Lepisosteus oculatus: one gene and its partners. The protein of the gene in region 1 interacts with the protein of each later gene in a pairwise test. Links are inferred from orthologs where the notes say so. Each region holds a gene or a part of one and is shown in the gene's direction. Other genes may lie near its edges.

The links.
Region 2: the proteins of tacc1 (region 1) and snrpg interact in binary tests that used the Homo sapiens proteins (3 or more experiments, as listed by UniProt). The link is inferred for Lepisosteus oculatus from reciprocal best matches to the Homo sapiens genes TACC1 and SNRPG.
Region 3: the proteins of tacc1 (region 1) and lsm7 interact in binary tests that used the Homo sapiens proteins (3 or more experiments, as listed by UniProt). The link is inferred for Lepisosteus oculatus from reciprocal best matches to the Homo sapiens genes TACC1 and LSM7.
Region 4: the proteins of tacc1 (region 1) and htt interact in binary tests that used the Homo sapiens proteins (3 or more experiments, as listed by UniProt). The link is inferred for Lepisosteus oculatus from reciprocal best matches to the Homo sapiens genes TACC1 and HTT.

Annotation. Positions count from the first base shown.
Region 1 is NC_090697.1:71,491,984-71,499,776, reverse strand, and holds the start of tacc1 (transforming acidic coiled-coil-containing protein 1), read left to right. Parts: upstream 1-4,784; 5' UTR 4,785-5,250; coding exon 5,251-5,411; intron 5,412-7,793. UniProt on the Homo sapiens protein: Involved in transcription regulation induced by nuclear receptors, including in T3 thyroid hormone and all-trans retinoic acid pathways. Might promote the nuclear localization of the receptors.
Region 2 is NC_090697.1:65,205,382-65,213,142, forward strand, and holds the start of snrpg (small nuclear ribonucleoprotein G), read left to right. Parts: upstream 1-4,742; 5' UTR 4,743-4,861; coding exon 4,862-4,893; intron 4,894-6,273; coding exon 6,274-6,296; intron 6,297-7,761. Other genes in the region: protein FAM136A, read left to right, coding at 224-289, 422-541, 1,325-1,465, 2,255-2,443. UniProt on the Homo sapiens protein: Plays a role in pre-mRNA splicing as a core component of the spliceosomal U1, U2, U4 and U5 small nuclear ribonucleoproteins (snRNPs), the building blocks of the spliceosome.
Region 3 is NC_090724.1:6,313,231-6,320,321, forward strand, and holds lsm7 (U6 snRNA-associated Sm-like protein LSm7), read left to right. Parts: upstream 1-4,072; 5' UTR 4,073-4,225; coding exon 4,226-4,231; intron 4,232-4,973; coding exon 4,974-5,064; intron 5,065-5,255; coding exon 5,256-5,327; intron 5,328-5,869; coding exon 5,870-6,012; 3' UTR 6,013-6,695; downstream 6,696-7,091. Other genes in the region: sppl2 (signal peptide peptidase-like 2), read right to left, coding at 290-472, 1,721-1,837, 3,707-3,754. UniProt on the Homo sapiens protein: Plays a role in pre-mRNA splicing as component of the U4/U6-U5 tri-snRNP complex that is involved in spliceosome assembly, and as component of the precatalytic spliceosome (spliceosome B complex).
Region 4 is NC_090696.1:40,626,020-40,633,619, forward strand, and holds the start of htt (huntingtin), read left to right. Parts: upstream 1-4,581; 5' UTR 4,582-4,884; coding exon 4,885-4,982; intron 4,983-7,600.

The DNA of each region.
Region 1 (7,793 bases):
CTAGAAACAACAATACAGATCACCATTAAAGCTTATTTATACCATATTAAAATGTAGTGCACATAACAATCTATCTTGCGACTGCTGCTGTCCTTTTCATTTTTAAAACCTAGCGTTTTGCAGCTCTGTACACTCCATTAAATGAAGCTCACTCATGTGTAGAGAATGAAAGGGCTTGGCCTCTCACTCTCTGTCCTCCTGTTCCTTCCCTTATTATTATTCCATAAATCCATGAGACACTGATCCATTTTTATGAGATCAGTTAACTTTAATCACAGCTCAAGGACGGGGGCCTCCTGAGAATAAAAAGCTCTGTGTCCCTTGCTTTTGAAAGGTTATCGCTTCCCTCTCACCTAAATATTAATGCCCGTTTTGCCTGAAGCGCTCCTATTGAGACACTTGAAATTCCTGGAATTCCTATGGTGCAACCTTAGTACAACCTTTTTGCTAGCAAAGAAAAACAAAAAGGCATCTTGCACTATGATAAAGCTTTGTTGACTGGCTAACTGGGATTATGTAATTCCTAGGAATATGTGTCTCATTTGAAACACATTCAGAAATGTGGTCGGACACTCTTCTGAAAAAAGTACAGCAGAGTCTGAATAAGTCACATTATTGTTAATCCAAATACTGTAAAACACTGTAAAACACAATAATAATGTTTTAATAATGTAAAGACATTTCAACCACTCTTTTCATTTGAGAATATCAGGTAAATACAATTAAAAAGTTTTTTTTTCTTATTTTGTTTTCATTGTTATTGTTATTAATAATAAAGTTGGTAGATATCTCTTTACTGATTTGGTGGTTCACAGTTTGAGCTTTGAATGTGCAGTTCAAATATCTAACTAATGTATAAAGAACACCAGCCCTAAAAAATAAATTCAATGGTATTAGAAATGGGCTAACAAAGTTGCTTTCATCTGAACGTAATGAAAAGTAAACTAAGGAATTTTTTACTCTTCTTGTTTTTTAATACGGAATGGTGGTTTTAAGCATCCAGTGCTAAACAATCAGGGATCAAAGCAGCCATTTGAAGTTTAATGAGCTGAAAGTAATTTTGCTTTCAGGTGGTGTGTATTTGCTTGTAAATAGCTTGTCTTTGTGTCTGAGCAGCAGATTTAGTCCTGAGAAAGCTTCAGCCAGGTACTATGAGTCATTAAATACTGCTTTGATCACTTGAGAATGCATTTTGAGATGGAGCACTGACTTGAGAAGGTTTAATTGTGCCAAAAAACACAGATGGATGCAAAGTAAATAAAGCTCTCATGATAAAATTCAGAATATGATATTTTGTTTTAGAAAAAAAGTGAAAATGTAGGGGAAAATACAGAAACAAAGACATTTAATTGAGTGTCTTTAAAGGTTTTTATAGTATGTTGTTTTTTTTACTAATTTGGTATCTTGCATTGGGGAATTTCTTTCTGGTTGTTTGAAATGTGACACCTCCCCTTGTGTACTTGAACCAACATACTCCACTTGTCAAGAGAAGCACACATGTGTGACATTGGTATGCTGGATCTGCACCTTAGGTGGACTTGCCTGTAGGCGAGCCAAGGTATCTTTAAAAACGAGTCAATGTTTTGTGCAGACAAACCTAATGGACACCAGTGACAACAGTGTGCAGAACAATACACTCATTCATGTGTGCAGCAGTGCAATTGAGGTTAAACAGTTTCAGTTCTTACTATTTCAGGTACAGTATTTTTCTTACTTTTTTTGCTTGTTAGCAGAATGTAATGTCTGAGGCTTTGGCTATATAAATATGATAATGATTAATACTGTGGGTGACTCCTCTGGACCACAATATCCACACCAATATCCACCCATTACTGTGACAGGGGTGCTGTCAGATGTAAGATGAGATGTTCTTTGGATGAGACATTAAACTGAGGCCTTGACTGTTAGTTTCTTTCTCATAAGAGTAGGGGTGTTATCTCAGTGGCTAATTCCACGCTGAGCTTGTACAATCTGGCCTTCCTAAAATTCTTCTTTTATTCACTCAATGAAGTATTTTTGTACTTTTCCACCGGATCCGATGTGTTGTGGGACTCTTAGTACAGACCAACAAGTCACATCACTCAGATGGGAGCTGCACTTCATTGGTGAAGTACTTTGAGATCATTTGGGATGAAAAGTGCTATACAAGTGCATGCAATTATTAATAATTATTAATATAAGTATTAATTGAAGCAGGTATAATTCCAGCAAAACTAAAAATATCTGTTTTGCCTATTTTCAAATGGGCTGACAAGTTGTACATGAAATGTTGTAGATCAGTATCCATTTTGACTTGGCTTACTAAGATCATGGGAAATAAAACAAGCAGACTTTTTTCTGTAGAAATAATTCGGGCTGCTCCCTTAGTAATGATAATAAACATTTACCATTATATAAGAAAGGTTAGAATACGATTTCTAAAAGATTTATAAAAATCTAGACATTAGACTAGACATCTAGAAGTCTAGAAATAAATTAGACAAAAAAACAAAAAATAGACAAAACTCATACAGTATAACGTAATTACAAGCTAAAGTCAGATCTAGACTTAGATTCCTTTTTAAATCAAATTGTGATTTACACATTCTCCTGTGTATACAAGAGTTCAGATAAACTTACTCTCCATCTCGGGCTATGTTGATGTAGTTTAAATAATGGCTTAGTTGTTCTTGGGACACCTTGATGTATTAGCCATTCTGCCATAAGATTTGTCACTGCTGCCCCCTATTGTACTCATCAAGGTGTTAATTACACTTTGATCTGCAGGCCCTCACTACAAAATAGATCAATGCTTAGCTGTTTCAAATTAATGTACTGATCTTTAATTAGAAGAACAACATCATGGTTGAATTATCTGCAATTCTCTATCCCATCTTACAGTTTAAGATTTGATATCAAATTTTATTAATTGAACCTCCCAAGAGAATCTCCTAACTCTGGGTGCAAGTCATTTCAATTTGCCGCTGCATTGGACTGGAACTATCAGTAGAGTGATCTGAAACTATCTACCTTTGTATCCGACATTAGTTATAAATGTTTGCAATGTAAGTGTTTTTTAATTGTTATTGCTCTGACAACATTGTAATTCATTGGTCATGCCGATAAAGCTCATTGAATTTGAATTAGTTAGATCCAGACTCTCATCTGCCTGATGGTGAATTGAAGTGTGAGAGAAATGCACCTTGATGCCACAGCTATAAAGACACTGCAGATCTCATTTCTTAAGTATGTGGTAATCTATTCATTGAATTCAGTGTCCATCAGCAATACATGATTATCCCATATCCTGCAGTAGAAGTGTTTAAATGCAGATTGAGATTGGTTAGCCCAGAATGATTGACATCTTCCACAGTGGTGTAAAAAGCAAGGCAGTTCAATGGAGTATTTTTTACAGGACTTTAATTACAGGGGATAAGGCATCTGACAACAATGACTGTGATTCCCAGGGATTAGGGAGAAGGGCATTACAGTGTGTGTTTGAAGTTAATTATGACCTTTTGGTAGACATATATTATTACCCCAGTTCTATGTCTCAGCAGCTGATGGGTTGGTACTTGACTTCATTTCCATCACCTGTAGAAAATAGTATTATGTGTATTATTGTGAGTTTGATTATGAGCTACTAAAGTAGTTTTTCAGAGTAGTTGTGCATTGATGTATTATATCAAATCATACTTTGGAGTTTTTCTTGCACTGTATAGGTAACAACATTGGAAATAACAAGTTTAACTATTCAGATGAATTCCTATTCAATCATGACAAAATATTTCTTACAAAATGCCCTTTTTGGAATATTAGAATATTCCTTTTCTCTACTATAGCTATGCAGCTATGTTAGTGACAATATGGAAACTGTATTTCAAATGTGATATACAGTATGTGATACTGTATGTTCTGCTATGTACTATATGAACTCTAGAATGGTTTTTTTCATTGAAACCTTTGTTTTCCATGTGAAATGTAAGGGATGGGTGTGTCTATAACTCAGTTTATTCACGCAGATATGGCTTTTGATGTCATCGCACTGCATTTGTAGATGACTACAAGTACAATGTACATGTTTAAAAGGATGAATTATTTTAGCATTAATGCAGATGAGAATTCTGCCTCACTTGTTGGGACACCTACAGTGCGTGACTCATCCTGTTTTACATATTCTTAATGCCCATGAATGATCTGTATGCAAATAAGTTGTAATACAGACGGTGATTGCGGCTAACAGTAAGCTGTAAAACTAGACTGGATCATGTCAGATAAGTATGATTGTGTGTGCATGTGTTAGGGTGTGTACAGAATGTGATGGCTAACTTTGTGTTCCCTGCCATCCCTACCTTCGTTTGGAGTGGGTCTCTATTACTTGGAAAGCCAGCAGAACCAGGGCTGCCTGGGTTGAGTGGGAAACTCACTGGGTTTCTAATGAAAACATCATGACTTAACCTTGGAGCCTGTGATTCACTGTAAAAGCAGCTCCACTTCAGCAGCATGACAACCCAGCTTGTTTGGCATTCCAGTCAGCAAGTCTCCTGTTTGAAATTGTAAGGTTTGCCGAGCCTCAGCTTCTCTGTTTTTTTAAGAAAAAAAAAACTTGCTTCCAGTCTTGGTGAGAGTGACATCACTTCTCTCCTCCTCCAGCGCTGGCTTCAGCCAATCCCCAGCAGAAGGATGCCTGGCTTGTGTGCCGATTACACCGGCTGGCCTTTTGAAAGAAGAAACTTTCCACTCCCCCCTGTTCTTTGACAATAGCACGGCCCTGAAAAAAGAACTGTGGAGGGGGGGGGGGGGTTGGAGGCGGGCAGTTAGAGGCAGGCAGTCTGTGGGCTGGAGAACGTGTGCACTATCTGGCAGCCAGCTGATCTTTGCTTTGGCATTCAGTGCTCAGAGGTAGAGTGAGAGGGAGTGAGGAGGCTGTGAGCTCTCAGAGAGTGCTTTCAGCTGAGTGAAAGGGGATTACAAAACTGAGGAGAGAGAGAAGGGAAAAAAAACAAACAGGGGAGGGCTGCTCTAGCCTAGTTAGAGGAAAAGAGAAGCATTGGTGATGAGAGTACAAGCTGCTGGGAATGCCTTTAGAGGAAGTGAAGGCAGAGGCAGTCGTTGAGGGACTTGTGATGTTTTAACCACATCCGTGCTTTAGTCAGAAAGCGAGAGAGAGAAAAAGAACACATTTGCTGTCAGATCCTGTGCGAGTTTGCCCCCCTCCATCTTGCGGAGTTCACAGTAGCAGCACCCAAAGAAGAGGAAGAACAAGGGACGATGTCTTTCAGTCCGTGGCAGATGCTGTCGCCTGTGCAGTGGGCAAAGTGGACCTGGTCTGCAGTTCGAGGAGGGGAGGGAGAAGGGGGGGAGGGGGCCGAGGACGACCCTGGAGATGATGAAGACTTTTCTCAGGAGGAAGAGAAATCCCAGGGCTGCAGGCGAGTTGTCTTTCCCTCCCCCTGTTCATCTTTTTAGCAGGTTTGGTGTGGCTTGCCTGTGTCCTGCATGGGAATTTGTGTGTGTTTATCTGGTAGGAGGAGAGATGCTTTTCATTCCACCTGTGAGATAGGGCCCAAGGGATTATTGTAATTTTCCTAGATTTGGTATGCTACAGACTCACTGACAGGTGACCTGACAGGTAGACAGGTGTAATTGCAGCTCTGTATGATGGCGGAGAAAGATTTTTCCAGTGAACATGGGCACACTACCCTGTAAATAATTTGTACTGTATATGTCAAACCTGCAGCTTCCTCTGATTTGTGTCTTTTTGTATGCATGTCAGCTTCTGACTTGTGACTGTTAAATGTACATTGTCCTGAAGCCTGTCTGTTAAAATGGGATTAGGAATGTATCTGCTCCTTACTCCATCCCTACATTGTCATTCTTGGTCAATAGTTGGTTTATCTGCCCTTGAAAACTGCAATCAGGGTTACCTCCTTTAGAATGTGTGGGAAGACAGGGGCAGTGAACACATCTGTAGGCATTTCCTAAACAAACTGTAAAGGAGGGAAAAGGCTGAGACAACCATGTTATTTTGCCTCTCCTGTGTATTCTAAGTCTTTAGCTAACACAAATGGGAAGGAAGAAGCTTTTTTTTAAAGACAGGGTTATTTTTTTAGCATGTCCTAGTTTCCAAGTAGCTATCCAAGACGAAAGACTAAAGCTATCCAACACTGCTTTCCAAAATTGTCGCAAAGCTCTTGCTTGGGCTCATTTATATTGTGTGCTCCTTAAGGATTTACTGACAGACTTACGGACAAGAGATATGTGCAAGAGGTACTGTGTGAGAATGACACCTGAAGTGGGGTTGTCATCTGCTGTTTGTTGCTGGTTGTCTTTTTTTACGGTGATGAAATAAAATGTAAGACATAAATGGTCAGTGTCGGGGGGAGGGGGGGGATCCTGACACATGCATGCTTCCCCTTTTCTAAAAACCCACAGCTAGGAAATTAATTTACAAAAACTAAAGCCAGACCGATTTGGCAGTCCTGCTCTCCCACAGGAACGAGGATGCTATTGGACAGACATGAGGCAGGAACTGGAGAAATATATTTAACCTTGGGCACAGAAAAGTTGAAGGCGACTATTTAACAGATCAGCCCAGAGAAATAAACCATAGTAGTTTAGAAGGGAAGTGGCTGAGGAAAGAAGATTTCCAGGTCTTTTTCCACAAATTGGGACTTTGTGACCCCAAAACTTCTTTTAACTGGAGATGGTGTTCATTTATTTATACAAAAGGGGACGCATTTGATAGAGAGTCCTATTTAAGTGTTTTTTATATTCCACCTCTATGAATTCTGAATAAATCTGCAATAATCGTAAAATTCAATTATCTTCAATAAGGCTCTTTTCTGGAAGAAATAAATTTTATAATTAAGATGTAAACAAGGGAAAGATTTAATTAAATTTATTTCTGGTATGCAAATAGTTTTGGGTTGACTTTGGATCCAGAGCAATATCTTCTGATCTTTTAGAAATCATCAATGGCCTGAATTTTAATACTATACTATAATAATTATTGCTTTTCCTTCTAATGTCAAACTTACAGTACCTTTCACATGGGATTCCTATAGCCTTGCCAAAGACAGAGAGTTGTTTTGTAAATCAGCTGCTAATGAAACACATTTCCTTTTCTAATCATATCAAAGTATATGCACTAAAAAGCATGTGCTATAACAAATCTGCCTACTGAAATATGCTCTTGTGTCCAATTTGGGTTTTGAGTTATTAAAATGTTTTTAAAAAAATAACATAATACCACGCCTGCAATTTTTGTGAAATTTCCCAAGACTTGTATATACTTCAGTCAAAAGCAGTACATTGTTGCAGGGCTGATGACTCTGTTTATTTGAATTCTCTTACCTTGAACAAACATGGCACCTCTGTGTCCTTTTCTTGACATCCTTTGTTTTGTCATTGGCCTAAAGGCTTCCCTGAAAAGTCTAGTCTGCCAAAGTCTAAATGACAGGTGGCTCACATAACAACAGCAGGAAATTCTTGTAGGGCTAACATTCTTATTTGTCAGATTTCCTGAAGCCAAATCAGTAGCCTCCTTACCCTTCAGGCCTGCATCGGAACATTTAGAGACCTATAATAAAATTAGAGAAAAATGCAGCTGCTGGGTTTTTCTGATGCAAACAGAATAAAGTGCCAAAGTCAGATTTTTCTTCTCCATGTGAAACTTGGCTCACAGATGAGCATCTGTAAATTAAAGGTAACTATTGAGAGCTAAATGAAAATTACATACAAAAGCGTATCTGTGCTTTCATATCTGTATTATTGGTGTTTTCTTCATGCAGAAACACATTTTTTCCCTCTTT
Region 2 (7,761 bases), about 6.3 Mb from region 1:
AAGTTTACATTATTTTTTCCCCAATTAAAACTGCTGACGTCTTTAATGGGCTATTTGCCATACATCGCTTCGTTCGAACTGTACATCTCTCCTCCTTCCTCGTGGTGTCGCTATACAATTCTACAAGGGTTCCAGGACACAGACAGGGGCACTTTAACGCTCTTTGGAGTACAGGCGCGGAAGTGATCTTTTTGTAATCCATGCTGCCGGTCGGGGTGACCTTATGTGCCATGCTAGCGGCAGCGCTGCAAGATATTACAAGCGAGGACCTCAAGACATCTTAGCTCACGTAAGCGACTAGGTGCTGTATGAGAACATAGTCACGCTTTGTGCTTTAAACGCCCTTGTTAGTTAGCACCTGCATTGGCCAGCATCGGTTGCACTGTTATAAAGTATCACTTGTGTACCTTTGTGTAACAAGCCCGGTTCGGTCCAGATCGGCCCGAGAGTCAGGATGGCCGAAGCGCAACAGGCTCGCATGCAGTCTGCCGTGGACGAGATGGTTCAGGGACTGGAGCGCGACCACATCCGTAAAATGCAAGTGAGTGTCTGGTTGACGGGACGCGGGACACAGTACTGGTGTCTGCATTTCCCCGTAAAGAATACGCGACCCTCGTTGCATAACATTTTGATACATTTGGGGGTTTCGCAGCTTCGTGCCCTGATTGACAAGATGGTGTTTTTTATACAGGCATGTTAATTCTGGTCTGCTTCTGCTTCAAGCGATTTCACAGAAGGTTGCAGACGTGAAATTCGCAGGGCCAGATGGTGTTAGTGAAGGGTTCGTGTGAGGGCGATTAAAAACTCTGTGATGGGAACTGGAGGGAAACGGTTTATTTCTGAACAGTCACATTTACACCTGCTGCCCGATCTCTCCTTTTTTTTCCCTAGTCACGTTATCCCGTAACCCATCCGAACGCACAGAAAGTTATATTAACGCAAACCTGTCTGCGAAATGAAATGGAGAATTCCTTTTAACTCAAAAATACTTTTGACTGCGTAACTGAATAAAACAACAATCACAGGACCTAAGCTTTGACTGACAGGATTGATACAGGATTCTACCGCTGGTAACAGCTGGAATTGTTCAACCTGTAGTACCACGGGAGTGTCTGCGTTTCCTGACTGAGACTACCTGTAAAACTGTGTTTATTACTGTGGGAGGCTTAGGAGTGTCTCATTCGACTTCATTCGGATGCGGTGTGAAGTGTGGGGTGCTGTCACGGTAAACGGGGGCTCGGAGAAAGATCCTCCGTTGTCCGTTTCTCTCGTGGGCTTCATGTGGTGTTTGATGCCCCGCGTTCTGGCTGCCTGTCCTCCCCAGGGGCTCATGTTCCAGTGCAGCGCGCGGTGCTGCGAGCGCGCCAGCGACTCCATGACCCAGGTGCACCAGTGCATCGAGCGCTGCCACGCCCCCCTGGCCCAGGCGCAGAGCCTGGTCACCACCGAGCTGGAGAGGTTCCAGGTGAGACTTTCCCAGGAGGCAACGTGGGTGTGGAGGTCGCTCAGCGCTGCCCCCTACAGCCCGGGCTTGACCGCACAGCCTGGAGTTTTTAATATATAGGGAACTGAGAGACAGAACTCTTTAATGGAGCACCGCACATGACTGAAACTTGCATTGATCTCTAATCATATAATAATGTCATGAAGTCTGCAGAAGGTAGAGCAATGCAGAAAAGAGCACTGAGGAGTCCAGCTTTGTCACAGTGCAACAGACTGTAATAAGCTTTGCAAAAACAAAGGCTTTCATTGCATTATGTAGTATTTGCTAATGTTAAACAGAATAATAATTCAACTTTATTTGTCATTCTACTTACACGGGTGCATAGTATGGTGAAAAGTGTTTCTCATGAGTCTCTCAGGTGCAGTATATAAATAGAACAGCAGACAAGACAAGAGACAGAAATACAATAACAGTGTAAACAACAGTATGGTGCCATTGCAAAATTGTCAAAAACTGTGCAAATACGCAGAGAAAAGTATACAAACAGGACAAAAACAGTGCAAAAGTAAAACGGTGAACAGTGCAAAAATAATACGGTTATTAATAGTACAACTTGTACAGTTTTAAGTACAATTCCAGTTTACATTCAGTTGTCGTGTGTGTAGTGGTGTAGGAGTACTGTCATTGTGGGTACAGGAAGTAGTGAGGAGAGGTCACATTTTTCTGAGTGTAATTTCAGGTGTTGCAAACCCCTTCCTGCTCTGAGCTGTCCTGCTGAAAGCTGCTCTGTCTCTCTCTGTCCCGCCTCAGGACCGGCTGGCCCGCTGCACCATGCACTGCAACGACAAGGCCAAGGACGCGTTCGAGTCGGGCGCGAAGGAGGCGGCGGTGCGCGGGCAGCTGGAGCGCTGCGTGGGCGGCTGTGTGGACGAGCACCTGAGCCTGCTGCCCAGCGTGACGCGCCGGCTGAAGGACAGCCTGGCCTCCATCAAGCAGTGAGGACGGGGGCGCTGGGAGCCGGCCCGGGGGCCATCTGGGCCTGCAGCCGACAGCGAGGCCAGCAGGCACGGAGTGGGGACACGGACTGGCCGGCGGCGCGGGCCTTCGGCACAGACAGAGGGCGCGGACCGCCCGGCGGACTGACCCCTGTCCTCCCGAGGACAGGTGGAGTGGGACACCCTGGCTGTGTCAGACCGTGAAGACAAGCGGATGAAACTTGGGACTCCCCGTGCATAGCAGTTTGATCCAGTCCGGGTTTTACCACCTGCCGTCTCTAGTAAACATAGAAAATGAAATCTAGACAGTTTTCATTTTCTCGTATATTCATGTCTGTCTATGTTTTGCAGACTGGAATTAAAGTAGAAAGGAGAGAAGGAGTATGGTAAAACTTGAAATGGATCTTATTGGTACCTCTGTGTTCTTCGTTTGTCAGGAGAAAACCATGAGCAGCTGTGAACCACTAGAGCCAAGTTTCTGCACAACTCTCTACCTCCTCCTGCAGGGGGTGCAATTGTGGCTTCAGTTTTACACACTGTGGAATTTGCTGCTGACAGCACTGTTTCCCTTTTTGTATTGCAACAAATCAAAATCGGGAATAAAATCAGTTTTCTCTGTATTCTCTTAAAAAGAGAGACGGTGTGTCTGTCTTCAGGCTTGGATTGTGCCTGTTTGTCTGTATTTGGGAGGGTGTGACCAGAACCGTGTGGCTGCTGAGTGAAGATTATTATTTCCACCCTCACAGTCTCTCTGAACACAAGTCACTGCAATTTGAGCCCTATGAGCTGAGCTCAGAGCTATTGGCATGGTGGGGTCGAGACCAGAAAGCCAGTGTCACATGAGTGTGTTCGATGCATGTTAGCATTAAAAGTATATAATCCCTTTGAGTGTCCATAAGGAATGAGTAGTGGATAGTTCCACTTTTAACAGTAACAAAAAGTAATGTTTCATCTGTGGATCCTTCTTCAGCTGTGTGTCTAGATATGTAACTAGTTGTTTAATAACTGTAACCCTAGAGGAATGTGTGGAATTTCTCTATGCAGAGTGTTAAATTCATATAATTTCTAGAACAACCCCATCGGAGAGGGTCAAGTGAGAAGCTTGCTGATAAGGGTTCAGTGTTCTACTTGTGTTTATTAAAGCCCCACCACACCACTGGATTTAGTTGTCTGCATTTAAGGGGAGGTCACTAAATGAAGTTGAGATCCATTCACTGCTAGATGGTTGAGCTGTTTACCACCAGCACCTTCACAGAGATCCCTTGTCCAAGCCCAGAGAATGGCCAATCTCCGCTGGCCAGCGAGGAATGAAGACGCGTATGAGTGCTGGTTTGTGTTGGTATGCTGCAGTGTGAAATTCAGATCTTCCATGCAGTGCTGTAATTACTTATTTAACAACTACCTTCATTAACAAGTTCTATACATACCAAAATATTAGCAATTAATCTACTTTGCATAAAACATTATGCACAATAATTGACAGAGCCTAGTTAATGTGAGGTTTGAAAGGTCTTTAGAAGGTGTCATAGTTATTATGGAATCCCACATACAGTATGTGCTTTCAGACACATCCTTGTCTGTGACCTCTGACCTCTTCTAAAGTTCATATGCCAAACTGGTATATCTCCTGAAAGAGTGAAGTTTTCACAAAATGTCCTTGCCCATGCCCTTTGACCCTTCCTAAAGATCTGATGTACAAACATTCATTCTTGGTTAATATATTTAGAATTATGGGCAGCATATAAACATCCTTCTTTGTTCTGCCAAAAAATTGCTAGCCAGTAACTTCTACTCTCTTTATTTTCATTATGCTTTCTGGTTTTCCAATCTCTATGAAATCAATAATCAATCACTTCTATTGAGCTTTCAGTGAGAGTGTGCTATCTGGAGAACTCTGTTACATCCGCACCTAGATTTGCTACCTCTTGCTACAGTTTGCCCTAACTGGACCACCGGTTAAGCTACAGCGCGGCACTTGCTGTCTTTAGGAAAGCTCTTTTTAAATAATATGATTTTTATAGCAGTATTGCCTGCCCAATTATTCATTAGGCTTGTTGCCTGTTCGGCATGAACAGGTATTTATCGGTCAAGAAAATCTTTACAATCAATGCACCCATCGTGTTCTTGCTCGTTTGCAGGATAGTATTTCCAGTTTCAGGAGAGAATGCGCGTGAACTTGGGTTGCCGAGAGGAGGCGCAAATGGAAAGGGAATATTCAATTAAACGGCGTTGGAGTAGTGGCAGTGTTCGGGCGATTGTTGATGACGCATAATGTGAGCCGGAAGGTATGGTCGGACTTTTTTTATGGTAACGCGTTCGTCCTTTGTGGTGCAGCGTGCGTGGAGTTTGGCGGTGAAGTCGCTGAGAGCGCAGTGGTCTTGTTATTGAACGGATATAAAACTATAGCTTTCTACACGTAAACATGAGCAAAGCACACCCCCCCGAGTTGAAGAAGTAAGTATTTCTTGTTTTAGTCTCGTAGGGTCATTTGTGTCTTTCGTTTTTATCACGGTAGTTGTTGGATCTTGGGGGGGGTTGTACTTGGCTGAGATACAAACTTGAAATGTTTCGCCATTAAAACTAGATAAAATATTCTGAAGGGCTCCTGTAGTTCCGTGATATTTGGATCTGTTTCCAACCGTGGAGACGACGTTAATATTTCTCATAAAGAATTGTTAATACGTTTCCGACCTCGCTTCGTGAACCGAGTGCAAACGTTATCGTAACGTTTGGCTTCGAAAATAGTGTCCACACAGCGTTATACATCACAGCTTTCGGTACTGTGTATTTTCTAAAGCGTTTGTAACGTGAGATTAGATTGTTTACCCCGTAATATTAAAAATGCCGCGTTAACGATCCTGATAGGTCGTGAATGTATAAGCTTGTATACTTTTGCTTTAGAAAGATCGACCTGTGACGAAAGCTACCTCTGCAAACCACGATTATGCGCACCGAGAAAGTCCCACGAAAACTGATTGACTTGCGCGAGACTCGTAGAAAGTAACTCTAAAATAATAATAATAATGTAATGGGTTTAATTGGTTTTAAGGTTTTAAAACGTAATATTAAACAAGCTACAATTGTCAGTTGCAGAAATCATGGACGGACTTCCGGTTTTGCACCTTTAGTACTCTATGGTGGTAGATGAAAACTCGCGCCAAGCTGTAGATTGCAGGAGAGCGTGGAAAAGCCTGTTTACATTTTCATTGCATAGGTTGGGGACGCTATATAGGTCACTGAATAACAGATGTATAGCAGCTAGCTAAACGTGATCTTTTTTAAATATTATTGAGCCTCTTAAGATCGCCTTTAAGGTTCATTGCTTTGCTTAATCCAAAACAGAATCTGGAAGCGATGCCTTTAAAGGTTTGTGGAGGTTTAAGCGATAATGCTTTGTTAAATACAGGCAAACACGTCCAGTAGTGTTGTTTCTTGGGAGGGAAAATATTTAAAACAATACAGCTTGAGAAGTGTACAATTAAACCATTATTTGTGACATTACTTTCAGAATGTATGACCAACAATCACATACACATGAGCAAATGCTAAATTCCACAGAATATCAGTTACTTTTACTTACGGATGCTCCCAAACGTTATAAATACGGTCAGAGTAGGGAATGATAGCAGGTCAGTCTATATTAAACAAGTCTTGAAAATATGTCAATAATGTTAGCTTATGTTTCCTGCATAAGCTAACATTTTTCACATGTTGGTTTACATGATAAATCCAGCATGTTTTCTATAACATGCCACAGGTCGAATGATGTACAGACTTTGTAGAACATTTTTTTTTGTATTGAATCTAACAACTTTTTTTTTCCTTTTTGTCCAGGTTCATGGACAAGAAGTTGTCATGTGAGTATGTAGGGTTTCAGTTGCTGAACTGAGGTGTTTGGACCCCTCCCAGGAGAAACTTGATATGGTCTGATGAACTGTCCCTCACCATGTTCTCGACTGACAAGTGCATGTGTGATGCCATTGTAAAAGATTACAGCCATCAGTCCTCAGTTCCAATAGTGAATTGATCCATTACCCAGGTGTTAGTTGTATGACTTTCACATGGAAGGGTGGTGCTTCAGTCCTCCTGCAGAGTTCTGGGCAGTGCCAGTGACTCTATGCTATGCATACAGGCTGCACATGGTCACTATTAGTGACTTTAAATTGTTCCCATTTTTATTATCCACATCTTACATTTTATGATGACCCAAAACTGCACTAAGGTGAGATAGGAAGGACTTTTTCCAGTAAAAGCTCTGACTATTAACTAACAACAGTGAAACATCTAGCATGCAGAGAGGGCTAATGAAAAGCTAAGGGTTGCAAAGATGAGTACCAGTGATAGATTGAGAAAAATGGTTAAAAACATCCTCTCCTAAGATGTTTTTGCATGCACTGCTAATATCACCATCGTCCATGATGGGGATTACAGATGTGCACAAGTATAGACCTAGAGGAAAATGTGTCCTTTGCTGCCATAATGTTTCACATCCAAAAATTATCTTGGAATTTATGAAAGCTAAAACCATTTAAATTAAACCATATGCTTTAATATTTATAAAAGAACTAATCATCATTCTTGAAATATATACAAAAAAATTGTGTTTTTTGTTAACAGCAGGTATTTTTATTTTAAATAGGTATGTATAAATCAGTGGCTCTTCACCACTTAAAGACCTCTTCAATTGAGATTCAGCAGGCTGCATTAACATTGATTAAGCCAGTAACTAGTTCTATTAAACCAGGAGTCCAGGGGTGCTGGTGTCTTTGAGGGTTTTCAGTCTGCCTGGGCTCTTAGTGATCCTAAATGGCTCATTAATGGTTGAATTGGAGCAATTATACAGCTGTTGCAACCAGTTTTTGGTGGTGCTTTAAAAAGACCTGTAATACCAGCAGACACCCCTCAGGATCAGGACCTCCTATTAAACGTTTACAGTCCAAGTCAGATTGAAAACCCATAGTTCTCCAGGACTGAGATTGGATAGCCCCGTGTTAAACATGTAAAATAGGGGTGTCGAACTCCATTCCTGGAGGGCTTAGTCTCTTCTGGTTTCTGTTCCAATCTGAATAGTCAATTAAACAAGTTCATTATTTTCCTGGACATTCCTAAGAATTTTCTAACTGCCTTTTAGTATTGTTCACTCGTACCTTTCACAAAGGTAGGGTTACGTTCGAATGACCTCAGAGGCTGGTTAGAGGTGTTTCCACCCTGCAGTTTAATATTGGAGGATTCAGACAGCTGTGGGTGGAAGAACACGAACCAGAAGACACTGGCCCTGCAGGGGGCGAGTTGACTCCCCTGATCTAAGAGCCGAATCAGATT
Region 3 (7,091 bases), on another chromosome or scaffold:
ATAAATGCAAATGAATTATTTACCAGCTAATAAGAGTGTGCTTTGATTTCCTTCCAAAGTCCAAAAGAACTACTAGTAGATCCTCAGAAAATTAGCCCTGGTGTGAGTGTGTGTGTCTGTTTGTGCCCTGTGATGGACTGGAATCTTGTCTGGGGTGTATCCTGCTTTGTGCCAACTGTTTGTCAGGATAGGCTCCAGCTCCCCTGTGACCCTGTATTGGACAAAGCGGTTGGAAAACGGGTGGATGGACAGGAAGAGAGGGATAATCAGTGCCCAGCTGGCCACTCACCAGCCTGTCTTTGCTGACGATGAGCAGCCCCTTGGCCCCGTTGATCTGAGCCAGCCTGACCTTCTCATAGAAAGTGCAGTTCCCCCTAAGCACCATGGGAATGCGGTTGGGGAACCCACCTGCGGGCACCTCTGACGGGGAGCACAGCACAGAAGCAGTCAGGTCATGGATCTGGAGCCGGGACTGAAGAGTTTGAGAGCGACAGAAGAAAGTGGGAAAGAAGACTCCTTTATATTTGCCCAGAAGACCAACTTCAAGAGACACACAACAGCAAGGATTTTTTTCTTTTGAAAATGCTTGTCTTACGCTCACACATGAGGTGATCCTTTACGGAGCTCAGTAAAGTCTTGCACTCAGCTGGATGGGTGTGGCCCCACTGAAAAAACACTTTTTGTTCTCTTAGCATTCTGCCCTGGAAGCTGGAATTGTAGCACTTGTTTAAACAGGGCAAAACAAACAGTTCAGAGACACCTGGGCCCAGCAGTGCTATTAAACTAGAGTTCCTGTTTTTTTAGGCTGTAGACACAGTCCCTGCACTGGGGCAGGGCAGTGTGAGCCGCCGAGACAGGTAGCGTCCACAGACATGCTCTCACGCTCACACGACAGATGGGATCCTCATGTTACTGGGAGAGCAGTCTCTACCCCAAAGCCTTCAGGGATACTGCTGCTGCACAGTCTGGTACCTTTTCACCAGGCAAAAGCAGCCCCTGACAGGGTCTGAACCTGAGACACGGCTCTTGTGCCATTTTACCTTTTCATTAAAATTAATAATTCCCAAAAAAAAGGATTTGGCTGGGACTCGTTAGCATCACTGCAGTCTGGCCGGGGCTAGAAATTGCACAGAATCCATGAGAGACAGAACTCCCTTGCTAGCAGGGCTGTGCACCTTTCTCAGGTCAGTCAGCTCGGACTCCATCAGAGCACTGATCGGCATTTCACAAGGGTGAGTTCGAACCACTGCCTGCTTGCACACCCTGCACGCAGTTCAAAGGTGCCTGTGTAATTCCACCCATGTTGCCCAAAGACAAAGAAACTATAAAGCTTCCCAGAGGCGGGGGTCATTTATTTGCAGCAAAGTGTCTGCCTACCTATTAGTTGTAAGACGATATGTGTTTACCAGCATTGAACCACTTGAAACAATCACAGGCATGCAAACGAGCTTAACACTGAAGGAAGTGTGTGCCATTCTGTCCGAGTGGAGCTTGCACATTCCCCGACGTTTGTTGTGGTTTGTTTCCATGCAGAGGCGGTCTGACTGGGCTGATTCAACACGTGTGGCCCTGGGGGTCAACCCCTGGTGCCCGTGAGGAAAACCTCACCTCTGCGCCCCGCCCCTTCGAGGAGCAGCTGCAATACGGTCTGCACGGAGAGCAGGGTCGCGACAGGGGGGCCGCAGGCTGGGCGGCTGCAGAATTCCTGGACTCTACTCACCGCCTTGTTGAGATCCTGAGGTAGGTGTGCCCACTGGGAGTTGAACAGGATGCAGTAGTCCTTCCCTTTACTCTTCCCTCTCTCACTGACGTGCGCCATGCCATACTCCCCCAGCACCTGTGGCAACAACACTCGTAATCAGGTGCGTTTCCCAATGCATATTTGAATACTTCTGGGCCTTTTACTTGACTCTCCCCTCCCTAGGTGCCATGGCAGTAACTGTTCAGAAGGCACCAAGAGAACTAAGCACAGCAGCCCCGTTTTAGGAAGGTAGAGTGATGCAGTGGTTATTATTGCTGGGGTTCAATGCCAGATCTCGGGTGCCGTCTGTGTGGAGTTTGCATGCTCTTCCCACGTTTGCGTGGGTTTCCTCCAGGTGCTCCAGTTTCTTCTTACAGTCCACTGACATGGTGGGTTAACTGTCTTCTGGGAAATCTGGCCCCGTTGTGAGTGTGTGTGAGTGTGTGTGTGTGTCTGTCTGCCCTGTCATAGACTAGCATCCTGTGCAGGGTGTATCCTGCCTGGTGCCTGTTGCTTGCTGGGATAGGTTCCAGCTCCCCAGCGTCCCTGTACTGGATAAAGCAGTTAGAAAATTGATGGGTCTCAGTCATCCTGGGGCTGTGGGTGACTGCGGGGATCCCTACTGAAACAGTGTGGATAGATGCCTTTTCCCATTACCTACATGGAAAAGAGTATTCATGTTAAGCAACAACAAAACACTCACACTACTGCTCACAGTTATTACCCCGTATGACAAGTGAGTGGACGCCATTCGGTTCATCTGAATTTGGTTGTTAATGGCTAACTTATTCAAAGACCCTCTCCCAGGTGTTGCTAATTCAGGGTACCTCTTCAGCAACAAGGGTGCCAGCTTGCCTCCCCACAAGCCTTTGTGTAAAGAGGAGTCCCCCTGGTCACAGTTTTAAATGCACTGTCCTGTAGTTTCTCTTTGTATCCTCTTCTGAAGAAGGACGTTACTTTGACTCTGTCAGTGATTTTGAGGATTTTGTCTATTTTTTTTTGGTCTGTCCCACAGCTCTTCGGTAATGAGGATTACTGTTCTGGGTACTGTATCCTATTGAATCAGTGTTCTGGGCGATACTCTGGCGATGTTTAGTCTCAGACGACCAACTCATGTACTTAAAAAAAATAATTCGCCCAGCAATAAAGTCTCTAATACCAACGTCTCATGGGATAGCTGAAAAACTAAATAGTCCATCGTTTTAAATTTCCAGGTTTCGGCGCTTTGAATGAATTCACAGGTCAGTGCGCCTCCCATCGCGATTTCTTTATAAACATTAAAATGGTCACTTTTCTTGGTTCCTTTTCTAGGACAACGCTAATAGCATGTTCGCTACATATTGATGTTAATTTTGTTTTTTTTAACAGCCATTTTCAGTTCGGTTAACCACAAGGTTACAATCAAAATGCGGACGGTTTCTTTCTAACAAGGAAAAAAAAGGAGCCGGTAACCACTGGAATTGAACTGCAGACTGCATATTGGCCGCTGTTTTGTGAATTAAACGTTCTTGTAGGGGGTTTTAACATGTTTACCCTCGTCTTCATCTGGATCTAACGCGCAGTAAAGAAAAATCTTCTTTTTTTCCCCCGGAACAGTGCTCAGCTCAGGTCCAGCTGATCCACATCTATCAACAGCAGCAGAGGTAACTGTTGTAGATGTTAGTTTATAGGAGAAGGAACCCAAAAACGTATTACATCGAGGAATTCTAGGTTCTGTACAAAGGAAGTATATACATTGAGGAGCTGAATGTAAAAATAATAATTATAAGAAGTGAAGCATCGCTTTTTTACACTCGCTTATCCATCAGAAGACTCATTACATGGGCCCATTAATTATAATAGCTACCAACCAGAATATCGCCCCCTTAGGTCGGATTTCAGCTATTTACTTAAAATCGTTAACGCTCGAAAGCCCTGCTTAATGCAATATGTACTACAGCGAATAGGAGATATTCAGTATCTCACCTGTTTTACCAATATAGCTCCGAAAATCAGAGCACTCAGGTCCCTCATGATGTCTGGCTGTTATTATGGTTTATCCCCGTCATAAGCCCAGTCCACCATCAGCTGTTTTGGAAGCTCCCGCCCTCGCCATACCGCAGCGCGACTTCATTGGGTCATTTCTGTTATGCTTACTCTCGGTCCGCAACACTATTGGTCAATAGTTCCATCAATCAAAAAGAAGCTCCCGCATAAAAAACGTAATTTGCTACTATCCCTGTCAATCAAACGTACCACTTCCTCGGGACGAGTCCACAATTTACCGCAAGGACTCTATGGTAGTGAATTCCATGCCTTGTTTCAAAAACTGAAGCTTATTTAGTTAAAGGGATATTTCTTACGTTACTATTTTAGTGTTTACGTGTACAGGTGTACGTTTGTTAGGAAACATTATGTAAAGAATAGTTCCTGAAACATGGAGTTTCCCCCAATCAAAGAGGTCAAAGTTTAAAGGTCGAAGGGAGGAGCTCACCCAATTGAAAGATGGCGGTGAGTATCGGTGAATGGTTTTCGTGTATGATTTGTGTAATATATGGTTATTTGTTCGGTATAGTCTCTAATTTCCACTGAAACTGTAAATTATTAAATCTAGTTTTTGTTTGTCTCTTTTAATGGTGAGGGGTATAGAAAGTTAGGCATTTTAAACATTAGAATTCCATTGTGTAAAAGAACCATTTTAATTTTACCGGCTTCGTTTGACTGGTACTAACAAAATGTTTCTTTTCAAACGTTTTTTTAATGTAAAGTTATTGTAGACAACAGAAAAAACGATTTTATTCCTAGCTTTCCGAGTCTTAAGCCCTTGGATGTCCGACTGTTTAGCAAAGTTAACTGAAACGCTGGCGAGCTAGATCCCTGCGCCTGTACATATTTTTCTGGAGGTATACAGAGCATGTTTTCACCTGCAGGAAAACCTGTGTTTGGCGTTGCATGAGTTGAATTCGTTTATTAGTCAGAGAGCAGTAACCAGGCCTCCAAAATAATGATTTTATTTAGAGAAAAATTGTCCATATCGTAAATAAAGCACGGTGAATGTCTTGATTAGCCGTTATTACTTCGTGGGCCGCTGTTCCGGGAATAACGAAGAACGATACAGTTAAAAAGACTTGTACTGTTCCGTTTAAAATACACGATGAGCAGTGGTTGGTCCGAAATGTGTGTATTGTCTCCCCAAAGTAGCCCTGAACTGTCCCTTTTTAACCCCACCTGTTAAAAACGTTAATGGTTTCAGGATAAAGAGAAGAAGAAGAAGGAGAGCATATTTGATTTGTCAAAGTACATCGACAAGACCATCCGTGTGAAGTTCCAGGGTGGACGAGAAGGTATGTTATAGGAAACTGTGTGTTTGTGTGGGCCTTTCTTCTTCATGCAAGAGTTCCTCCCAAACTCTGCAGTGCTCTTCTAGGTAGTGAATGAGCAGGTGGACCTGCTGGTCGTCTCCTCTCGGCTCTCCTTTGTCGAGTGGATCGACTGCAGAACGACTCACGGAGCCTTTTGCTTTTCTCTCTGGCAGCCAGTGGCATCCTGAAAGGGTTCGATCCGCTCTTGAACCTGGTATTGGACGGCACTATAGAGTACATGAGAGGTAGGTGCCAGTGCCTGAAGGCATAGTTCTTAAATTAAGGTCCAAAACCCCCTGCAGCTCTTAGCTTTGGTCTTTACCAGTCACAGCCTCCTAATAAGCCCCATCTCTGAACTGGCTTCATCACTCTGTTCTCCTCCCCACTGAGAGCTGGTGTGTGGGGAGCGGACTGGCGCACTCTGGCTGCCATTGCATTATCCAGGTGGGGCTGCACACTGGGGGTGGTGGAGGGGATCCCGATTACCTGTAAAGTGCTTTGATTGGAGTGTCCAGAAAATCGCTATATAAGTGTAAGGGATTATTATTTTTGTTATTTTGTTATTTGTTGTTGTTATTCAAGTTTTGAGGCATATGGGTTTTGTACAGACCTACAGGCTGGCAGTCTCAGAGGCAGCAGAATGCTGTGCTATAAATCCCTACAGAGGGAGTTCCATCTGGTCAACTGCCTGGGTACGATGGCTTATGCCCAGGCAGACACTGTGCATGACTTGTGCTGGCGAGGCTCAGTCTGCCCTTACCCCTCCTTTGTTCCGTGTCGTCTGCAGACCCCGATGATCAGTACAAGCTGACGGAGGACACCAGGCAGCTGGGATTGGTGGTGTGCCGGGGAACATCTGTGGTCCTCATTTGCCCCCAAGACGGCATGGAGGCCATTCCCAATCCTTTCATCCAGCAGCAGGACGGCTAGAGGGGTACCCTGCTCCCCTTTCCTCTCCAATACCTGTGCACAAACCTTTCTGTACCCCCAAAGCGACATCATTGTTGTGGCCTCAGGAGAAGTAGTTAAAGCTTGCAAGTTTCCATGCAGTCTCTTAAACACCCTGCAGGTGGTGGTTACCCCCGGTCTTTTCCTGATCTCGTCTATCTCCCTCTGATAAAATGTCATCTCTCTGTACCAGGGATTCCCAATCCTAGTGCTGGTGTGTCCAGTGTCTTCTGACATTTCATCAATTTGGGCTTGCTGCTTCTTAATGGATCCCTTATCTAGGCTAGTTATTAGATGGATTATAGAGCATTTGTGCATAATTATGACACTGGAGATCTAATGCTAATTACATTTTCTTAACTTCTAATTGGAACATCTTGGCAACTTAAAATTAGCAAATGTAGTCCATTTAAGGGTTTAAGTAGAAAACCGGAGAAGAAACTATTGGAGACGGGTCACCAAGATTGAGATTTGGAAGCCCAGGTCTGAGCTTCTCTGAAACCTTGTGTTAAGGCTTTGTGCACTAGAAGACACGGTGAAGAGGGGAATGTGTGATCAGATGACAGAATCATGCTTTTCTGTGACTGCTGAATAATGTTTCAAATGTTGCTCTTCGGTGACTCCTATGGCAATCTTCAGTTTTCCTTTTTTTAATTTACAAATGAAATTGGAGCCTGCATGGCGATGGATGGAGATGGGGAAAGGAGGGTGTCGCAGATAAATGTAAATAAACCAACTAGTTTACATGCTTATTTTTATTTGGTTCATAAGTGCAGAGAGAAACGCCACTCTTCTGAATGCACTTACTTTTGTTTTTGTTATTTTCAGTGTGGTGAACAGTTATTCGGAGAGATTTCACTTGTGTTGTCTGTACTTGGGATATGTTGACAACAGCCTGTGGGGTTAATTGATTTTCTGATTTGAAAACTTTAAGATGTACATTGTACAGACTTTAAAAACACATTCTCTTTTTTTAATCGATACACCGGAGTGTGCTTGGTTTGATGTTTTTTAGCCGTTTAAGTTTATTTTAATGCTCTAAGATGAAACAGGGCTGTTCA
Region 4 (7,600 bases), on another chromosome or scaffold:
GTAAGCTGCTAAAAGCATCCATTCTTAATCATTGAGAAACCCAGTGTCAAAGTAAGGGTTATGTAGAAACGTTTGGGCTCCCCCAAAGAACAGCAGGAATCAAATGATAGTTTTGTTGCATTGTGGGCTTTTGTAACAGGGCATCAAAATAGAAGTGTTGCAGATGTTACCAATAACGTCAAACCAAGAATTGAAGGAGAGTCTGTGATGGCTCATTCCACTATTTTAAATGGGACATTTAAGACAGACTTTGGCCTTTAACCATGTACCAATTATCAAACCTTTTTTCTAAAAAAAAAACCTTTATCAGAGGGACTAATCTAACCGTATTCAGTTTCCCAGAATTTTGCTGGTAAGGAAATACTTTTAACAGTTTGAATGTCTGCACAAAGTGCATTTTAATGCCTGTTTTAAAATGTTTTACTAATCAAGCATGTATCGGTAGTAATCTTCAGGTTTCTTGTTTGTAAATTATATTACAGTGCCAACATATCAGAAATATTGGATGCCGCCTTTATTAATGCAAGGTGACCGATTTTGTAGTTGTACAGTCTTGTCTTTCAACCACTGCAGTAAGTGTATTTCTTGTACAAGTTCTATCACTGGTTGTTGTACCATATCTGACATTTGTAATTATGAAATAAAACACTGCCGTTTGTACAAAATAGCTTCCCTGTGCTTTATTTAAACAAAGCTATTTCAGTGGGTGCTTCAGCCAATTGAATTTTATTTGCTGTAATGCTATGATAGACTCAAGCTTTAAATTTGCTCATTTTGCTTCCCAGTAATTAACATGATTGACTACTTGGAGAACTGTTCTTGAATTTAACGTTTCACACAAGGGATGGCTTGTAACCCATGATGGTTACATAACCATCAGTTTAGAAAAAAATAATTTCTAGTTTCGAAATTGTACATTAGTTATTCTGTTTTGTGGAGTAAAATGTGTATCTTGCTGTGCAGCAGAGTGGGAATATCACAAACATGACCAATTCACTGTATGACAAAGCTGAAGGAAGATGCAGTTTTGTGGTAAAAATGAAATCACCTCATAGGCACACTGCTAACCCTTTTTGTGAGTCCAGCTTTTATCATTAGCTTTACAAAAATGATCTTTTCTCCTGTAAATGTAATGTACAATTCTTTTAACCAAAAAAAAAAATCTCTAAAAAACACTATTACAACACAAAAGGAAAAAAAAAAATGTTTGGATCCAGCAACAAGTAAAGATTCTTATTTTTTACAAGGTGTTTTATCAATATATATATAGGCAGCTCTCCCTAAGTGAGCATAAAGAGATTAATCCATCCATTTTCTAACACGTTTCTAACAACTGAGGGTCATGGTGGAGCCAGAGTCTACTGGTGAGCAACAGACACAAGGGAGGACACACCCTGGATGGGAAGGCAGTCCATCGCAGGGCCATAAAGTGATTAAAGCTGCCCAAAAATAAACAGCTGAATTTCAGATTTAGCTGAGAAAAATAAGGTAGTGTGTGAATTGTCTTTGGTGGTTTTAAAAAAGTATGAACTATCCTGGTGTCATGTACTGGTGAAAGGGCTAGTAAAATATATATTTTTGACAGTGCTGAAAACGGAAACATCTCTTGTTAAAATTACTTATAAATATTACATATTTAAAGAGGGGAAAGGGTTGCCTCTCACCCCTTCTATACATTCGGCTTGGCTGCCATTATACAATGATAGACCTTGTGCCTTGCAAATGTATTCAGACCCTTGCTCAGTTTACACAGTTGGATTTAAAGCTTACAATCATGACACTTTCAAGTAGAAATTCTTGTCTCTTATACAATCTGCTCCAAACACTAAAGCAAAAAAAGGAAAAAAACAGATAAATGAAAGAAAAATGGTAAAGTTATGATTGCAGAAATATCCCAACACTAGCTGTGGCAAACCTAAGTTAATTACCTTAACAAGACACAGAATTAGTTTAGTAGTCTCAGTGTGTATGTAATAAAAGCAGTTCACATGATTTTCAAATAATAGACCTGTCTCTGTAAGGTTCCTTGGTCAGGTAGTGAATGGATCATAAAACCGAGTATTTTTCTAAAGAACTCAGGAATAAATGTGTGTAAAGTAAAAGATTGGGAGATAGGTATAAAAACATATCAAAGACCCTTAATATCTCTTTGAGGATCGTGAAGTTGATCATTAAGAAGTAGGAGGCACCCAGACACTGCCTAGATCAGGCTGTACCTCCAAACTGGAAAAGGAAAAAAATAGTTATGGATTCCAGAGTGAGGCCAACAGTGATTTTGAAAGAGCTTAGATCAGAGAAAATGTCCATGGGTCAACAATATCCCAGCCAGTCCACAAAGGGGCTTTGTATGGATCTTTTAATTTACATCTCCAATCTCACATGGGATTTCCAACAATGCACCTAAGGGACACTACAAATATACAGGACAATTGCAAAGCAGTGCATATAATGCAAACCCAACTGCAATACACAGTCAACACCATTCCCTGCGTCAAGCATGGTGGTGACAGTATTATGTTATGGGCCTGCTTCTCATAAGGAACTGAGAAGACTAATGGAAAATGAATGGACCAAAACAGAAGAAAACCTGTTTCAATCTCATAAAGACCTAAAACTGGGAGGAACATTAGCCTTTCAGCAGGAGAATGACCCAGAATGCAGGGCCAAAGTCTTAGGAATAAGAACGTTAATGGAATTGAGTGGCCAGTTCAGAATGTCAGTAAGCACAGTTGGTGGGGGCTAACCCAAAAAGAACTGCAGTTGTACTTGCTGTCAAAAGGTAGCCAAGAATAGCTGTAATTGCTGCCAATAGTTTCTACCAAATATTGAATTCATGCATCCTTGAACTGAGGTTACCCACATACCACCATATGATTCTCTTCACCAGGCAATTGTGGACCTTTCATCACAAACCACTCATGCTGTTTATGACCTAGATAAAAGAATACTGCTTTAATACTATAATGCTAATGCAAAAAAAAATCTGTTATTTACTGCAACATAATTTACCATTAGAACTTTTCTGTCTAAGCATTCAAATTTGAATACATTATCAATTTAAAATGTGTTGGATCATTTTATAATGTCAAGACCATAGGGGGCTGTGCGCTATACACATTTGCACCCCTAGCAAAGAACTGAAATCTGTGTTGGAAGGACTGAGTGTAAATGCTCGTCAATCGTTCTATAGCATATTATGTTTTCATAAATGTAAATAAATGCATTTGTTAATAATAAAGGCTTGTTGTGTTAAAGTTCACCTGGACTATATTACTGTCTTATTTTTGAGTCCCATCCAACAGGGGTAGGAATAGACGAGGTCTGGGTTCTTTTCTTGGCTGCAGGCTCTTTAGGTGTGTAAAAAGACTTAAAGGACGTTCCCTCTGTGGAAAGAATGTCACCTACAAATACTGCAATCAAACAGGTTTTTTTTAAAAAAACCTGAAGCATGCATTTGGAAAATTATACCAAACCACTGGAGTACGGGATGCTATTCAAAGCCCTGGCTAATAAATATGATTTCCCTGAACAGATAATCATACAGATACATTTTTTTACCAGATCTGCTAGGTAATTTGAAAAGAAGTGTACAGTGCCTTGCACAAGTAGTTAGACCCTTCCTGTGGTTTTCCATCCATTTTGTAACTGCTTTACCCAATTCAGGGTCACAGGGGAGCCAGAGCCTGTCCCACCAAGCAAAAGGTGTGAGGCATGATTCACCCTGGATGGGATACCAGTCCATTGCAGGGCAGACACAAACACCCCTACACTTAGGACCAGTTTTCCCAAAATCCAATTGATCTAATAGAATGTCTTTGGAATTATGGGAGCACCCAGAGAAAACCTGCATGAACATGGGGAGAACATATAAACTCCACACAGATAGCACCCCAGGTCTGGAATTGAACCCAGGGCCCCAGAGCTGTGAGGAGGCAATGCTAACCACAGCACTACCCTGTATAAAAAATGTTCCTATTAAACATATTAATTGATATATCAACTGACCACTGACATTTGCTGTATTGTGCCGTTTTCCCCCAAATGCATTTGAAAGTCCCTGCTACTTACTTTACCGTCCACAGGGACATCCCAGATATGTGATGCAACATGCCATTATTTCACTAGCTAGCCACCACTATCACAAATTCATCGAAATATCCAGATCATGGATCCAGAGTACTACACACGAGAGTCGAAGCTCTGCTTTTGTGGTTTTCAGTACACGTACCACAACATTTGTATGATAGGACAAAAGAGAAATTTCTCTTGACAGGACAGGAAGCTCATCTCCACACTTTACTGATTACCAATCTTCAAACTAATTACCATCAACATCAGATCAGAAACCTGTGGCCTTAAGGTCATGTTTTTTTGGGTAAAAAGAGGGATTTATTTTGCTGTTCAATAAAAATAATACGGTGACCAATCAGAAGGCAGCCTCCCAGCAAGAAAACTTCGTGGTACATTCAGCCTCTGAGCCGCTTTGGTAAGTAAACCCACGCCGCCCTCTTGCCGAGATGAAGACAGCCCCGGTCGTGTTATTGCTCTCCCGTCCTCTCAATCAAACACAAGCGGCTCCCGATCAGCCACTCACAGCGCGGCTCCCCCTCAAGCTGTCAGGGAATATACTTCCTTGCTAGGAGGGAGGCTGATGGGATGCATCAAAGATGGCTAACAAAATTGGATATAACAGCAACTAAGTCCCATTCATTTAAATGATAGATTTTTAAAAACCGTAACGAAATCCCCGTGACAGGTGGGGTGTCGCGGAGCCCAAACCCGTGGCTGGATTTAACACGCATGAAGCGCGTAGGCCGTTCCCTTCCTTAACGTCTTTGCGTTGCCCCGCTGTTTGTGTTATTTGTAAATATTATTCCTGTTAAAATGGCCACCATGGAGAAACTGATGAAGGCCTTCGAGTCTCTCAAGTCATTCCAGCAACAACAGGGACCACCATCGGCCGAAGAGCTAGTTCAGAAACAGTAAGTACAGAGCAAGCGAGGTGACGAGACCGGGCACTGAATGGCGGTGCCCTGGGTTGGTGGGCAGCGTAGCAGTGATTGAACAGTCGAGATCAAGTCATCGTAAATTACTTGGAGTTGTCCCTACGGGTGGTGTTTGCGGCGGTTGCGTACCCGATCGCTGTAGGTGCATCAATAATAAATGCACACAAACTCATCTGCCTTGGAAAGCTCTTTCGTTGTTGGTTTGTAAATACACGGAAAGATTAGCCAAACTCCCTACTACATCGTAAACAGCGAACGCAGTCGTACCTCTGGTTGCTCCTGGTGCAGATCCCAGGGAATCAAGTTAACTTAGAGTTTTCTTGTACAAAGATCTGTTTGAAAATCGATTTTTTTTATATACAGTATGTAGTTTTCGGGGCAGGGGTGGCTAGATAATGAAAGTCGGGCAGTTTGTGGTGTGGCGTAGGTGTCGGTGATAAGCACAAACAGGTACAGGAGCTGCGAATTTCAAAACACAGTATTGCAATGACACAGTTGTATTGATATATGTTAGTCATAATAGTTAAAAGATAAAAAAAACGTCTGTTAATTCAAGATTTAGGATAGATGGCACTTTGAAAACATTATCTGCTGTGCAATACTTCTTAAAAATACATTCTGTCAGTGAATATTTCCATAGTTTTTAAATTCCGCTCATGTTGTATATGCAGCACTATACGGTCCTATTTTGGTTTGTGCAGTGTATGAAAGCTACTGTTTCTGTAACATCGGTGCAAGACATGATACAGTTACAGTTTTTAAGTTTACCTGTAGCATGCTCTGCCAGGTCTATATCACTTTTGAAACCAGTTACGAGTGTCTCAGCCTCAGAAACTCTGCTGTATCAATGATGTCCTGTATAGATAAAATCTCTTAAATAAGTGATTGTACACGGTGCAAAACAACTCTACCACTCACCCCTAGCTCTTACACATGTAACCTACATAAAATTAATTCTCATTCCTCCATTTTCTAACTGCTTCATCCAATTCAGGGTTGAGGGGGAGCTGGAGCCTATCTCAGCAAGGTGCACAAGGTGGGGTATATTCTGGACAGGATGCCAGTCCATCACAGGACAGACATGCAGACATACTGACACTCACACCAGGGCCAATTTTCCCAGATGCCAATTAACCTACTGTGGTTGGAAACATGAGTACCCAGAGGAAACCCAGATGAACCAGGGGAGAACATATGAACTCTGTGCAGATAGACCCCCAGTTTTGAACCCAGGGCCCCAGTACTGCGAGGCAGCAATGCTAACCACTCTGCCATTGTGCCACCCACACAGATAACACTCCATGTCCGGAATTTAACTTTAACAATATAGATGTTGCATCAGTAGTCTGTGATTTCACGGGATTGGAATATGTTATCCTTCTTCACCGTACTGGAAACACTAAACAATGAAAGGTCTTGTGACTACTTTATTAAATCTGTGTAATCATCCATCTCGGAGATGTCATTCTCATTGAACAGGTTGCTACTGACCCCTAGATAACTAAGAATGTAGTGTTGTACATATACAGTGCAACAATCCACTACTACAGTAGTGTAGCAATGCAAGGCTTTTTGTGAAGGTGCAAAGTATTCACACAACTTCAACTTAGTCGTTGAATAGTATATTGAAGGAATGCATGGGATGTGGAATGCTTTGTGACATTATACAATCGAGTTCTTAAAGATAGTGACTGACAATTCAGTACATAGATCACAGAGCTCAGTTTGCTAGTAATTTCTTTGAGTTGCGTTTTGCTTTGTGATACTCAGTGCCACAAAGCATATACTGTACAGGTAAAACTCTGTGTTGTTACCTTTTAGTATGTAGAAAACAGCTAATATAATTTATAGGCTGTTCCTTTTTTCAGATACCTAAGTATGTTGTTTTATAGAGGCTATTCCAGTGCCTTCCAAAAGTATTGAGACCCTTGCACAGTTTTCACATTTTCTTGCTTTAAAGCTTGCAGTGACTTTAGTAGCAATTAATATTTGTTTAATATACAACCCACGCCCCGCCTTCAAAGCAAAGAAGAAGAAAGAGTTAATGGATAATATGAAAGAAAAACAGGAATAGTAATGACTGCATAAACATTCAAAACCATTGCCGTGGCAAATCTCAGTTAATCTAGGTGCACAAAATTACTTTAATGAGACAAACAATTAGTTGAGTGGCCATTGTCTAATGGTATGATATGAATAAATATAACTCGGTAAGGCCCCTCGATCAGGTAGTGAGATAGATAAGACTTTATTGATCCCAAAGGGAAAAGGAAGTGTTACAGCAGCCCATCCCAAGACAAGCAAAAACAGACATCAGAACAGATGAAAAATTAAAATACATACAGTAATATAAAATAAATGAAAACATTTCAGATACCCTAATATCTCTGAGCCTGGTGAGGTGGAAGGCCCCCAGACACTGTTCCTTCCAGTCGGAGGAACAAGGAAGAACAGAGTTAACCACGAGGCCAACAGTAACCTTTTCAGAGTTGCTGAGCTCTGTGGTCGAGATGGGAGGAAATGTCCAGGAGTCAACTATATCTTGGTCAGTCCACAGAGGAGGCTTGTGTGGAACCGAAAGAACACACCGTAAA